Schizosaccharomyces pombe: one gene and its partner. The protein of the gene in region 1 purifies or fractionates together with the protein of each later gene. This does not show direct contact. Each region holds a gene or a part of one and is shown on either strand. Other genes may lie near its edges.

Region 1 (6,642 bases):
TCCTGAATGGTATGTCGATGGGGGAATTGAAGAGTTTGGGGTTTAAAGCTTTGATCACAATAACCCATCAACTCAATTGGGGTATTAGTTTGCAGATCACGATACAAAGGTGAAGGATACACAGGTAAAGCAGCTGGTCCGACAATGGGTTCGGTTGTTAAAATGGGATTTGTGCTAGGAACCGGTAACTTATTTGATAAAGTACTTGTATAGTTCCAAACACCACCCGGAGACCCCCTTCGCTCAAAAAGCGTGACCTGGTCAAACGCCTTTTCTGCTAACAGCGCTTTAGCCGTAACTAATCCAGAGGGACCAGCACCAATGATTGCAATTTTTCGAATTGTTGGAAGACACATAAGAACAAAAGAGAAAATGATAATTTTTTGATTAGTACCAAGTAAATTAAGATATTTTTTTTTCTGTACAAAGAATAACAGAATGAAACAATATCCAATTGTGAAGGAGTGTAATTGAATGAAAACTACACTTTATGTGCGTTTTATATCTTTGCACGTTCCGATTGTCCTCAATCTGCCAGGGGGCCTTGAAATCGCTGATAAAGCTATAGCTTATTGGCTAAAAAATAGAAGTGCTGGTTAGCGATACACATATTGAAGCCAGACACTATCTGTATATATAGTTTGTTATGGATTCAAAAACGCATCCGCTTTTCGCAACTTTAAACAATCTTTTCATCATACTCAATATTAAGCACGACTAAATTACAACATCCGATCAACATTTTAGTAATCCAAGTTCTGTTATAAGCGAGCCATATGACAAAAATGGGACATTTGAATTTCTCATTTAGAGCAAATTAAAATAATAAATGTAGTTTACACCTCTTGATGGATTTAATAATTAAGATCAAGCTGATATCCGAATGTAAATTTGACCTTGGCAACGGATTATCAAAGAGAAAATTTTTTTAGCGTCCAATGATAACAGCGTTTAAGAATTAGTTACTTATAAAGACCGAAGCGATCTTCCAGATAATGAATAGCAATACATTAGATGTGAACCTATTAATGTTGTTTAAAAGATCTAGTAAGGGCATTTTGAAAGGAAATCATGCTGATGAAAAAAAAATATATCTTTATCTTCCTAACACTTCTTGCAATGGCCATAAGAGAAAGTACGTCTCTGCTGCTCATACTTTTCAAGCATGTTGAATGCTTCAAAGTAAATGATTATAGTAATTTCCCAAATAAATATAGTTAGGTGACTTACTGACTCCGCCTAACGCGTAAGTTGGATTGTTGAAACAATTAAGCTCTTGCTGTTACAACGGTATAGCTTAATACCCAAATAATTACTTAAATGCTTTAAATCATCATAATACCAACAAACGTTCGTTTTTATAATCAGAGACAAGAAGATTTTAAGATTTGCAGGGAGGTATACTCATATATAAATTCATTGTATTTTAGAGTACTATCAATTATGTATCTCAAAGAGTATATAGTAATACATGAAATAAAAGTTTTTAAAGTTGAATTATAATTTGATGTTCTATAATTGGGGTGAATGCACCCTAATTGACAATAGAGAATTCTACGAAAAAAATCATGCATCCAGGATAGTCATATAGGATTTTGGTTAAAATTGGCAGCACAATATAGTTTTTGATGCAATTACAGTTAACATGCATAATACTTGTTTTGAAAAAAAGTTATGAATAAAAGCTCAATTGTAAGCACATCACAAAGAACGATTTTTAATCGTAATTGACGATATGTAATTTTGGATTTCATATAAAATTGTAACTACTTATTAAATGATCATTAGGGGAAATAGCGCACACTGTTTTATATCCTCTTCAAATTTACAAAATGAAATTAATCAATTTTAGCAATTTACCTATTTTATATGATTGAATTGAATTGAAAAAACCATGAGTTGATTATGACGCTGAAAGAAAGACATATAAGATCCTTAGGACACTACAACTCTTTCTACTTGAATGCGAAAGTGGATTGGTCTCACCAAAAGATTACCGTACACAAGAACTTCGGTGCTCTAGCAAGTTTTCTTTCAACCAGGGCAATTGCAAAACGAAGAAATTCTAGTGGTACACCACACTGTTAAAAAAAATTGACTAGCATATTAACATTGTTAGATTATTCACTTTTTAAATTTGGAAATACGAAGCTTCAAACATAAGCCATAATAAACACAGTGAAGGCTTTAGCATTAAATTTATTAAAAACACTGCTTAGCAGTTTGTAAAGTCAAATGTTTGCTATGAACATTTTGAGTAAAAATATAACAAAGATTTATTCTTTTCTATACAAATCAGAAAATATATAAAAACAAAACATATAGTGAAATTAACATATATAACAGAAAAGGAAGCAATGTAATGAACAAAGCGATCTAGACTAGAATATGTCAAGGAAACATACTTTACGACGTACAGCCAGTCTAGTGAGTAAAAAAAAAACACACTCTTAAAACAAATACCAAGAACACGAAAAATAAAATGTTGTAATATTTCTGAATGTATTGGTTCAAATACCAGTAGTGAACGTTAGTATTAACAGAAAGAAATCCAAAAAGAACGAAAATGCACAACGAATAAAATAGTATGAAGCAAGATAATTAAGTCCGAAAATAAAAATTCCGTACCATGGAAAAAGGTAATGGAGATCACTTACAAACAGAAAAGTCGCTGCTGAGATGCAATAACAAGAGGAGATGAGAGATGACAAAAACTTTTGGGAAACTTAGGAAGAAGAGGATATGGAAGTGACGGGACGAACATCGTTAAAATTTGGTTCCATGGTAGGAAGTTTGAAGGCGATTGAAGGACCTGCCTTTAACATCGGAGCAGACTTCGAGGACTTGTGTAAGTCAATAAGTAGTTGAGCATAAACCTTGGTTTCCTCGGATTCACGGACACGTTTAACAGATTTAGGGCTTCCAGAGTACAAACATCCTTCTACACTATTGCAAACACCACGTTTACGTATCTTCTCCATTACTGCTGGGTTTTCAGGTGTAAAATTAATTTCGTTTTGGGGAGACATAGATACACGAATTCTTCCATTTTCGGATGGAACGGACTTTGCATCTTTACTGTCACTATCCACACGAATTCTCTTGGCCGAATCACCCAAGAAGGCATGAGGATCTAGCTCAATGGGAATCTCTGTATAAACGGCATTCTTAGCACAGGGCGGCTCGACCGGATAATTGTACTGATTTACATAACGGTTTTCATTCTCAGTAGTCGCAGAATCTGGCTTGACAACTTCAGAGTTTACTTCGACTTCCTTGGGGCTATCCAAAGTAGAATTCTTCAACTGAGCCTGCAGCATCTCCAACTGCTCAAGCAGCTCGTTGTTCTCCTTCTGTAACTTTCCGATCGTATCCTGATATTGTTTTTCACGAACACGGAATTTGGCTTCCTCGACCGACAAAGCTGAAGTCGGCCCAGGTCTTGGTTTAATAGGTGCCTTTCTTCTTCCCAGAGCATCTAACGCAGGTTTCCTTCCTGGTTTGGGACGAGGAGGAACAACCCATTGTTTAGAGACGCGAATCATCGGCTTTTGAGGTGCTGGAGAAGCAGAAGATGATTTTTCCACTTCCGATGGACTTTTAGACGATTCCATGAGCAAAAAAAAAGTTGGGGGGATAGGAGATATCAAGTACAGAACTACACTTTTAGCAAAATATATAAATCTTTATTTTCCAATACTCCAATGCCTCTACTGACCAAGCTTAAAAATCTCACTTTTTCAAACGTTTGTCGTTGGTGGTTTGTTTTAATCTGATAAAGAGATACGATTAAATTATATCTGATCTAAGTGCCGTGTGGTTCGATGATTGTACTGTTAACCCGGTATGCAACACCTCGTTATATCTTTAAAGACTCAATTTTCGGGAAAAAACGGATTAGTGAACAGGTCGGCTTAGAGGCGCTGTTGACATACATTCTCAATACCCATCATTTCAGTTACAGAACCAATTAAAAAACGCGGGTATGGTGGACATCATCTGATTAAAACCGATCGACCTAATAAACTCTGGGCTCTGGCTATGTAATACTACAATCATTCGGCACACCAACTATCATAGTAATGCTTATCCATGTTACTTTTTTGGAGTTAAATTAATGTTCTGACTCACTGCTTTTCTCATGTCATACCGTCCTTTGAAGATTATTTAACATTTGTTTATATTTTTGATATAATGAGATGAAACGAAAGTGCACTAACACATGTGACTGTTTTTTGACTCCTAGTATATAAGAAATGTGAGTGAGTTAAAACAAAGCTTCATCTCACAAAATAATGAATTACTGATGTCAAAAAGTCTGCTCTCTTCTAACGCGGTTATAATATAGAACCGTATTAATGGTTGCAGCTTTTTCCTCTTCATGGAATCGGTATAGATTATGTCGGGGAGACCGACAGCATAGCTTAAAACCATCGTGAAGTCGTTGCTTCGTGCCATGGCTCGTGATGACCGAATGCTACGTACAGTTTTTATATTTTATATCATTTTTTAGTTTGATTTATGTTGTATTCAGTTATTGTTGTAGTTAAAATACGTTGTTTTAATAATTCACGTTGTTTCGTGCCTTCTCAATGAATATCATTTTTTTGTAAGCATCATATGTCTCATGTACAGTAGTGGTAAAAAGAATAAAGGTTGCTATGCACGCAAGGATGGAGTGAATGTATGGATACTTAGCTACTCAGTTTATCCAAATGGTTTCGATAAAACTTCAAGCACAATCTTAAATTAAAGTTACTTTGCAAATTCATCAACGGGATTGCGATTGTCGTGAAAAATTTAATTGATTATTAATAATTCAATTATAAAAATATGAAACAAAAGAGCTCGAAAAAACATTACTTATAAGAAAAATCGAAACAGCGCTAAAACATTTACTGTAAAGCTGAGGAACACCGAAAATAGCAAAATTTAAATCTTCAAGCTACTCGTACCCTGAATACTCAAGGCATATATAGTACCATTAGCTGATTACAACTCTTGAACCTATCATGATGTGCCTTGTTGTTCTTTCCCTTAAGTCTCTTTTCCCGAATTTTGTAGATCAGCAGCCTCCTCGATCTTTTCCTTAACATCTTTGCTGTCAACTTTTTCAGCCTTTTCATTTGCCTCTTTATTATCATCCTTCGCAGGCTTCTCGTTAGTGTCCTTACTGTCAGTCTGTTCGACTTTGTCCGCAGTTTCTTTGCTATCGGTCTTTTCCTCCTTGTCATCGACCTCTATACTATCAGTCTCCTTAGCCTTGACATCGGCCTCTTTACTTTCAGTTTCTTCGACCTTGTCCTCAGTTTCTTTGCTATCGGTCTTTTCATCCTTGTCATTGGCCTCTATACTATCAGTCTCCTTGGCTTTGACATCGGTCTCCGTTTTACCAGTGTCTTCATTTGTTATCTTTGTATCTTTCTCCTCAACATCCTTATGAAGACTAGCTTTGTTATTTTCGTCCTTACTCTCCTTTTCTTCCCCAACGTCAGATTTCTCTTCTAAATTGGCTTCCGAATCAGCATTCTTGGCTTCAGTTTTCTCAGAAATTTCAGCTGTATCAGACACATCGGATGCTCCTTTACCAACAGCAGGCTCATCAGTTTCGGTTTTTTCGGCTTCAACAGAGGTAGAGTCCTTTGGCTCAGATGTTAGTACCTTGGATTTAGCATTGGATGATCCCATTTGTTCTTCTGATACGGTCTCAAGCGTGCGAGCGGCTTGCTTTCGTGACTCGTCGGGTTTTTTTTCCACTACAACTTCCTTAGTGCTTGCAGTAGGCTTACTTGTGTCTTTTTTCATCTCTAACTCTTCATTGTAAGCTGATTCAAGATCACTATCATCGAGAGCAAAAGCAGAATTAGCGACTTCAATCGCACCATTGCTATCCAAAATGAAGGATTGTCCCTCCACAAAGGCGGCTGAAGAACTTGATTCTACGGAGCGACGGTTGGAGTTCAATGAAGATCGCCTCATCATTGGAGATGAAGATGATTCTAAGCGAAGTCTCTCAAAATCTTTCTCATTCAGCATGTGTGGATCAGATTCATATGGGGGAAGCGTAATGGCTGTTCCTGGTCGAGAGGGTTTACGACGTGGTAACGAAGGTGGTCGTTCTTCATATGCGGATTCCAAAGTAGCAGCAGTAGATCTTCTTGGAGAAGGATAAATTTTAGAAGGTGCAGAATACTTTTCATCATCATCGTCTTCTTCCTCACCATCAAATTTGGAAGCGATATTCTCCACCCATTCCATACTTCTTTGCTTAAATGATTGGAATCCACGCATAAATGTATCTTTGATGACTGGAAGATCGTCTTCAAAAAACGAATAATCATCTCCATCGTTGTCATTGGGCTTTGCTGTACGGTTTTGCGGAGGGTAATTCCTACGATCATTGTTTGTTTTGCGCCTACGTTCTGGACGATGGCTGTTGTAACGATTAGCAAGCTCTCTGGCACATCTCTCGTCTTCCTCAAGCTGTCGTTGCACTGGATCGTCATGTGCGGCTGTGTCATAAGCATAAGAAGTTTCAGCTTGTTCCATTTCTTCAGCAACTTGAGGATCACTCAAACCTATTATGGTTAGAAATGAACGTTGACTATTGCATTCATAAAACTTTTCAAGCACGATATTCTT
Region 2 (9,294 bases), on another chromosome or scaffold:
TCCAAAGCTAAGCAATTTTTGAAATTATTTGCAGTTAAATCTATATATTGAATCATTCGTAAACGAGTTTGGAGAACTCATTTTGGAAAAGAGCAAGCATACAGCATGAATCCATACAGACCATATGTCGTGGTTAACAATGTTGAGCCTACTTTTTCGATAACTCCAGAACCAACGTTTGAGACGCAACCGACCATAAGCAAGAGTGAGATTTTTGAGACACTCAGAAGTATTCTAGTGACCAAATATTTAACGACGTTTTTTGTACAGCCATTGGAAGTAGCAAAAACTGTCTGTCAAGTAGAAGAATATTTACCAAAACGAACTAAAATTGAGCGTGATGGGAAACAAACAAAGGAGCCTTATGATGAGGATATTCCCGATGGCACAGAACAGGAAGGTCTCAGTGATGATGAACACGAAATCTATGCTTACTTTGAAACACCTACCACAGAAAAGGCAGTAACAGAACAGCTAGCTGAGAAACTTTGCGTCGATGCGTCTGGCTATGTAACTGATCCTTCGAATCTCATCGAGAGAAGCTATACAATTCATTCGAAAAGATTTTCGATTAAAAGTATCATTAGTGAGCTATGGGAGAAAGAAGGAGCTAGGGGTTTATGGAAAGGTCATACAATCAGCTTTTTGCATAACTTACTTTATTCCGGCCTACAGTCCTGGCTTTCGGCAACATTATCTGGAGCTCTCGCAATAGCAGATCCAAACATTATTTCACCTATAGATTCTGTTCGGCCTCTTCTTTCCCTTTTCATCAAATCCATTACTTCTGCGATCTCTGCTCTTATTCTATCTCCCCTTGATATTGCCAGAACAAAAATAATTCTTTTCCCCATTTCCTCATCTTCCTATTTGTCTTCAGCTTCTGAAACTTCTGGCAATTCGCATAAAAAATTTAAACCTCTTACTATCAGACAATGCTTGAAAGCATTGCCTTTTTACTGCCCTTCATCGTTAATTTTACCCACAGTTTGTTATGTCAGCTTACCACCATTTGTTTCGAGTGTGCTTCCACTAACATTCCGCAACTTTTTGGGCTCATCTCCTACACTTGATGCAATGGTTGGCTTGGGCACTTCAGCCGTTCAATTTCTTCTCAAATGCCCTTTAGAAATGGTACTTCGAAGAGCACAAGCCCAGTATGAATGCAACCTTCCACCCCAAACTATCGTTCCCGTAGGCAAATACACTGGTATCGTCGGTACCATATGGTGTCTTTTAAGCGAAGAAGATCCGGGTAAATTTGGAATAGAAGGTTTGTATCGTGGATGGCGAGTGGGTATTTGGGGAATGTCGAGTACCTTAGCATTGAACTACATCTCCTCTAATTTGCGTGAAGAAGTTGAATTTTAGTATTCAGGTTTTGGGTCTGATTGTCTGTTTATTAGACAAAGTCAGAAGAGACGAAAGTTCACATGGTAAATTACGGAATTCTCAAAAAGGTTTTAGTTAGGTGATGTTTTGTAATTTGGAATTTTTTTTATTCCAAATTACTACACGAATAGTCATATTTGTAGTTGTAAGTTTGATTTATGTTTAATGTTTTCGTTTTTCTTTCTTACCGTATTCTCTAACGGAATAGTAGTAGCTACATAATTTATTAAAGGTAATAATACATTTTCTAGAAGCAAAAACGTAGTTATGTGAAAATACGTTGGTGTTTCCTTTAGCAAGGTTGCATAACGCCAGCATTCAATAAAAAGGACTTCAACGTCGCATTGAGATCTCTTACACGAGACTTCATAGTGTTATTCAAGTATAGCTGCTCGTTCAATTTATAAACAGTATAAAAAATGAGGCAACCCAAATCCTTACAATGCTTTAATTTTCTAATTTACAACACTGCACGGAAAGTTGAATCTCTAAAGACTTTATGCTTTTTTATTACTTTTTTATATAGTTTGAATTGCAATCAATAACAACTGGCGCCATCATTTTGCTATCTAACACGTTGAATTACGGGCCATGTCATGTCAAAAACCCTTCTTGCTTTTCAAAAAAAAAAAAAAGAAAAAAAAGGAATTAAGTAAACTTCTCAAGTAACAGGGATAAATAACATCCACAATTAAGTCAATAGTAAAAGATACCAAATATATAATTCCTTTCATATTTTAAAGTTCTAAGCTTAAATACGTTTTTGCTGAAGAATATCATAGTTCTTCCTCCTCCATAGTAGGCATATCGACAGGTTTGATCATACCAGGAACAGTCATAGCTTTCTCCAGTTGGGCTTTTTGTTGAGCAGCCAACTCTTGTTCTTTCTCCTCCAAGTAAAGTTCAGCGTTATCCCCGCCGAATTCTTTCAATTGAATTAAAAAGTCACGTAAAGCAAGTTTAAATTTGATGCTGTCCTGATTAAGAGCTAGCACTGTCTGTACAAATTCTTGGATTTGGATAGGTTGAAGATGGGGGAAAGCTGTGACTAGTAGATTCATGATATACTGTCTTAAAAATAATTGATTGTTCATTTCCTGGGGGAATTGAGAAGGATCGTAGAGAGGTACAGTAATCTGGTTTGATTCAACCAGATAGAAAAGCCGAGCCAAAATTAAGCTTTGAAGCTTAAAGCCAGATTTGTGATCAGAGTCAGTCAAAACATACAATATATCTTGTAGTAAGCTAATATAATAAGTTTGGAAAAATGCATTTGAAACATCAGGTCCCATACTCGCCATGTTATTAATAAGTTCAAGTAAGATGTTAAGTCCGGTTTCTTGAATGTCGCGACTAACATGCTTAAAGGACCATACAATACTATTGATCACTAGTTTGAATTGTGGTGCCGGGATGTTGAGCAAAGCGGGGAAACAATTCAAGTTAATGGCGCGTAAAAGTTGAAAAAATGCTGCACGATGTTCGGGGTATTCCGAAAAATCTTTACTAATCATTTCAAGGGTGCATCCAAAAACAGCATCAAGAACAAGAGGAATCTTATCAGTAAGGAGTTCGCTAAGTTGATTGACAATGGTGGTTATCAAATTAAGAACTTCGGCATCACGAGCGTCAGGAACATTTTGTAAATAATCAAGCAACACTGCTTCGAAAAGCGCAGGAATGAGAGTATTTCCGACCAACTCCAAATCTTCCGCTCGACTTATATAAGCATCTACTAATTTCAAAATTTCTTTTTTGATAGTTCGTAATCCCCTGACGTGGGGAGTTTTGGTAGCAATATTTCCTTGGGCAGCAACCACTTCTGATATTAAACCGCTAACAGCCTTGTAAAGACCAAGCATATCTACATAATTTTTAGCAATTTGAGGATAGAAACCGGAACCAATAGAAGTACATGCAGCAACGTTTGTCTTTAGAACATTTGCTAATATTTTAACGGTCTGAGGGTCCCCTAAAACTTGAGCGTTTTGTGCAGCCTGAGCGACAATATTTTCCCAGGCCTGATTGGGTAACGCCATAAGGTCAAAAATGAGACGTTCTTGAAGATGTTTTTGAGGTTGAGCAGAAATCATATAACCGCACGCCTCATAAAAAGTATGAGTCTGTTGAGGAGTTAAATCTTCAGTCGTCTTGGCCAAGTTACGAATAATTTCGTTGATAAACGGCTCCGTTTCTCCCAGTTGTTGAGCAACAAAATGGCGACGACATTTTTGAGCAATCTTAATGAATGTATCACAAGCCATATCCTGAACACCTTCATGATATTCGTGCATAAACTCAAATAGCTTATTGACGACGGTCTTGAGAAATTTCCAATGAGCTTTTAAAAAGCGAGGATATTGACCTACAACGTACATAATGTTAGAGGCAACAACAGCCTTATTATCTTTGCCACGTTTCATTTCACAAAGGCCCAATAAATCTTTAATCACGTTAACAAGAAAGCGCTTTTCCATTTCTTCATTCATAGCACCGGATATTGAGCCGATTGCCCAACAAAGAGTATTCAAATTTTGCCAAGACCATTCTGTACCAACAACAATACGTGCAAGTTTTTCAGTCATAACGATTTCAGTATCAACCACGTCCAAGTGAGTGAGGTACACAAGAACCTCACGCATAGATTTATAAAGGGTAATTGTATCCGTCTCTTTAACAAATTCACGAACAATTTCACCTTCGTCATTTTCGACGATGAGGACTTCTTCGGGCTTGACCATGTTTTCAATCATAACCAATCGAAGAGTTGAAAGTATATCTTTATAGATATGTTTCCTTAAAGGAAGATTGGCTAACATATTAGGATTAGAAGAAATGAGAGATGTAGGACTAGAAAGATTAAGTAATGGATTCATTTCAGACATGGGGATTTGCTGCATTTCTTCATAAAGCTGAGCTACTAATTTTGACCAATATTCCAGGCAGATCTTGAAAATTTCTCGCTCGTTAATTCGCGAGATATTAAGAAGGTAGGAATGAGCATTAAGAAGGACTTCTTGATTTTCAGGATTTTCTAATGGTCGAAGATGAGAGCTAAAGAAAGCGCAAAGGAAGAGAGCCAAATTTTGGATAAAGTCTTGCTCGTTTGTGCTACTTTCTTCATAAGCCTCACGAAAATCAGTTTGTAAAGGAAGCATAGAATTAACAGAGGTCATCACAAGGTTAAACATTGTAACAAATTTATCGTTGTACTGAGGTTGAGAAGTAAGACTAGCTATTTCGGTAAGACATTCAATGGTAACGTTTCTAAAATCAGGAACATTTAGGAATCGATTTGTAATTAACTCAACAATGTTTGTTTCAAATATATAGCCAAGGGGTATCCAATTCAAAAATCGGAGAAGTGTTCCCAAGGTAGCCTTGATTAGGCTAGGTTTTTGCGCACGTTCGAGAATTTGTGAGCATAGTTGAAAAATCTCGGCGAATTCGCCACACATTTGGTTTTTTAAATTTTTGGTTTTGAGCTGAGTCATTTGCTCAGCTGAGTAATCAAAAATTTCTTCACTCAGAAGACGAAGGACTATCATGTTATTTTCACAAAGTGAAAGGTTTGTTTTACTGGCTTGGACAATTTCCGGGATGAAGTTGGGCCAATTATGAGGCCATTCTTGTTTAAGAATCTGAACGAGAGTGAGGTCCAATTTATTAAGAAAAGTTTTTTGTTGTTGCAGGACAGTTTCGTCTGACGAGTTCTTTATCATAACAGCAACAATATAATTGCGAATTCCCAATCGCTGCTCCTTGGGAAGCATTTTCCAACGAGTGGTGATAAGCTTGTCAAGGACGGAAAGAGCGATATATTTAGTTTGGGGATATTCTGATTTTTCCAAGATGGAGTAAGCCTGCGACCATGCATCTGGATGTGCCTGAAATTGGGTCAGGACTTGTTGAGCCTGTTGTTGCTCTGCACCGACACCTTGGTAAAAGGTTTGGACAACACGATCCAAAAGGGCAACGTCTAATTCGCGATCGAATGCCAGGATGCCCTCCATATTTACAAATCAAAAAGCAAAAAATGTAAATTGATGGTTGGCAACGTATTGAACAAATGTCTTAAGTAAAAAGAAAAGGATAATTACCTCAACCTTATGCGATTGTATATGTATAAAGGACTTCAGCAATCAAGTTAGAAATTTGAAAAAAAAAATAAAAAAAAGTAGAAGAAAAATTAATTTTATCGAATAGAAACAAAATAATATAAATTTTTAATCTCCTACTTGCTGATTAATTACTCCTCCCTTGCAAAAATAATAGAGAAAAAACAATAATTAACTCAAACAAGAGATCGAAGAACAGGAAATCGAAAGATAACAAGATCCTTCCTAAAAGAAGACCAAGGAAAATAACACGTATCTACACGAGCGTTCAAAGTGCTTACCTCCTTACTATAAATAAAAACCAAATAAATATTCCAAATTCTCTTGTTTATAACGAAATTCCTCGTCCCAAGAGATGCTTCACGCGATAGAAATTTGTCTTGTACTCAATGGAAACAAGAGAATGAAAGAATGTATACAGTTAAAGGCTACTGCCTAACGTCCCAGGGTAGAAATGCAAAAGAACAAGTGTTGTGTTGGAGGTAAAAGGTGTGGCCGCAAGGCTGGCAAAGAAACACGAAGAAGAATAGCAAGCATGCAGCGTATCCAATCGTTTTGCGTTATCTATTTTAAGGAAATTTAACAACGTGATTATAGGCAGAAATTGATGGGAATGAAGTAAACATAAAATGGAACGAGAATGATGGCGATAAAACTGAGTGTATCAGCAGATTGCAATTTTTTAAAAAAATGGTATTAGTTTTGAAACAAAATTTACTTCCTCCGGTAAGACGTTCGGTCGTTTCCGTGAATGGGAGAAATGCGGTAAGAATTTGATCGTAACGTCCGCGTTTAAACCAGAAATAAATGTGTCGTACGTGGATTTTTCTGTTTGTTTGTTTTGAAGTATTTAGCAAAGACAGGTCATTTGAAAAACATCAATTTATTTTTTTAAATTTTTTTATTATGAATTATTAGGTATTTTATGGTTTAATTATCAATTTACAAGTCAACGAGTAAATCAAAACAGAAGGAAAGTTTATCATTCAGTAAATTAAAAATTGTTATGAATTTAAAAAAATTGAATTACAGCTAGAATCATGTTTCCAAATTATTTTAACCAAGTTTATGGAACATCGGCACGAAATAATATACTTATTACTAAAGATTTGCCATTTCATTGTGCTTTAGTAATTCGCCTTTTTTGCTTTAACTCCTATAGCCACACAACAAAGATGTTGCTTATGTAAATAAAGGCGACTTTCCGTATGAAATGCTTCGCGGTTACAGCCACAATTCTATATGGAAATAGAAAAGAATGAAAATTGAATTAAACTGATCATGTTCGTTATTAACTCGCAGTTACCCGACATTTAGTGTGTTAAATAAAGAAAAGGGAAGGAAAAAAAAATCATTAAACCAAATATTGACCTTTGGAGTTGGCATGGCTCTCAAGGTATAAAAAATCCAATGCATTTTTTTTAACTAATTTATACGATTTTAGTCAGGTTGTGTACATATACTCTAATAAACCCAGACAATTTACAGTACACGCAACTATTTTTATAGATATATACCTCTATTTAATTAGTTTGTACAATTAAGCGGCTATGCCCGAGTGGTCTAAGGGGGCAGATTTAAGAGGCTTCTGCCTTGATCCCTGCTGTTGTAAAACGCGAGAGTTCGAACCTCTCTGGCCGCATTATATTTTACATTTTTAAATGTAAAATTAACGTGTTTTTGATTTACAGTTGAACTAAATTTTTTTCAAATTTGTTGAACATTTTGCTTTTGTTTATTCTTTTTTTTTCTTCTTTTTCATTATTCTTATCTGCAACATTTCCTTATCAAGCACGAAGAAAATTTGAATTGATAGGCGCTTTCATCCGACCAGCACTGTCCTAAATATCGCATTTGTTTGCCAAAGCCCGTATATAAATTATGTATTTCGGTGACTTTTTGTAATACCGGTTTCTGCTTTTCTGTGATATGTTGAAGTAATAACATTTGTAGAAGTATTTATATAGACCATTTCTTACTTAATTCCCTGTAACAATTGTTGGATTCAATTCTGTGTTTTCCAATTACTCTGTTCTCACGGCTAATATTAATTTTATTACACATATATTCAGCAAAAAACAAAAACAAAACAAAATTAAATTAAGCATAGCATCAAGTGTGTGCCAAAAAATCGTCGTTTTCTATTTATTTTTTACTATTTTGTTTTGATATTCTATAAAGGTCAATTGCCAAGATACTCCCAGCTCTTCGTCTTTGCTTGCACATTATTCAAAACTCTGTGCATTCTATTGTTTGTATTTCAGTTAGTATTGTTATTGCTATCGATTTTCCCATCTAATTTTCAAAACAAATTAACACTGATTCTATCGGCCCTATTTACCCACCACTGCATATTTTTAAAATTCCTTAAATTCTTTTTCCTGGCTACTAATACGCCTAATAAATATTAAAGATAAAGAATTCCCTTTTAGATATTAGTTCTTGCTTTCTTTTTTTATACAAAATTTCTGTTTTTTTTTTCGAAACTCTTCTGTAACAACAATGACTGCTACATCTTTTCTTCACCAGGCAAAACAGCAACCCCATCATACTGAACCTTACATTAAAGCGCTTGAGGCTCGTGAATACATCATTGAACAAGTCCCCGAAGAGCTTTCCAAGCCCAAAGTTGCCATCATTTGCGGTAGCGGTTTGGGCACATTAGCCTCTGGATTGTCGGCTCCAGTTTATGAAGTTCCTTATGAAGATATTCCTCACTTTCATGTTTCCCATGTTCCAGGTCACGCATCCAAATTGTACTTTGCCTTTTTGGGCGAGAAACGCGTTCCCACTATGATTTTGGCTGGTCGTTACCACTCTTATGAGGGATATCCTATAGAAGCTACCACGTTTCCTGTTCGTCTTATGAAAGTCATGGGCGTTGAAGTCATGGTTGTTACCAACGCAGCTGGCGGCTTGAATCAAGGTTTCAAAGTTGGTGATTTGATGATTCTTAAAGATCACATCAATTTTCCTGGCCTCGCGGGCATGAACCCTCTCAGAGGCCCTAATGCACACGAATTTGGTGTACGTTTCCCCCCATTATCGGATGCTTATGATTTAGAATTACGAAAATTGGTTTACGATGCTGCCAAGGCTCACAAGGTTAGCCGTACAATTCACGAAGGTTGTTATGCATTTGTATCTGGTCCGTGTTTTGAGACTCGCGCTGAAAGTCGAATGCTTGCTCTTATGGGAGCTGATTGTGTCGGCATGTCTACGGTTCCCGAAGTAGTCGTTGCGCGTCATTGTGGTATTCGTGTTCTTGCCATTTCTTTGGTTACCAACAACGTTGTTGTTGAAGAGAGCCCCTCTGCCAAAGACTTAGTGGAGGTTGATTCGAATGTCATGTCTAAGGGTGCTGCAAATCACTTGGAGGTTTTGGAAGTTGGTATCGCTGCCGCGGCCGATGTTCGTACCATGGTGGAGACGATTGTCAATTTTATTTAATCACTCCTCTTTGACAATCTTTTTTATCCAGAATAAAAATTTCCTTTATCTGTTATACATCCTTTTAAGCTATTTTATTTATCTAACGTAGGATATATATCCTAGTCATTTCGCTTATTTTGATGTCTGTAAATTAGATGTTTTGTTGCCATTCAATATCTTTTCCAAAATATCCTTTTACTCATCAATAACCGTTTCTTGCTTTCTTTAAACGAACTCACTAGACAATATTTCCTAAATGTCGTTTGTGTTATTTTCCAAACACCAATTAGGAAATATTTGTTTTTAGTATACAAAGTTCCCTGGTCACCTCTAGACTTATTTTTTTATAGTT

What was found.
Region 2: the proteins of php4 (region 1) and crm1 purify together in Schizosaccharomyces pombe (affinity purification with western blotting, with the first as the bait; one study listed by BioGRID). This does not show direct contact.

Annotation. Positions count from the first base shown.
Region 1 is NC_003423.3:1,913,124-1,919,765, forward strand, and holds php4 (CCAAT-binding factor complex repressor Php4), read right to left. Parts: upstream 3,770-6,642; 5' UTR 3,615-3,769; coding exon 2,727-3,614; 3' UTR 2,252-2,726; downstream 1-2,251. Other genes in the region: fmo1 (flavin dependent monooxygenase), read right to left, coding at 1-356; SPOM_SPBC16E9.02C (CUE domain protein ), read right to left, coding at 5,038-6,578. UniProt on the Schizosaccharomyces pombe protein: Component of the transcription regulatory CCAAT-binding complex. Required for the reprogramming of the cell for iron use. Down-regulates pcl1, sdh4, and isa1 underlow-iron conditions.
Region 2 is NC_003424.3:2,800,619-2,809,912, reverse strand, and holds crm1 (karyopherin/importin beta family nuclear export signal receptor Crm1), read right to left. Parts: upstream 5,990-9,294; 5' UTR 5,792-5,989; intron 5,526-5,791; 5' UTR 5,406-5,525; coding exon 2,169-5,405; 3' UTR 1,660-2,168; downstream 1-1,659. Other genes in the region: transport protein Ugo1, read left to right, coding at 106-1,371; SPOM_SPAC1805.16C (purine nucleoside phosphorylase), read left to right, coding at 8,013-8,960.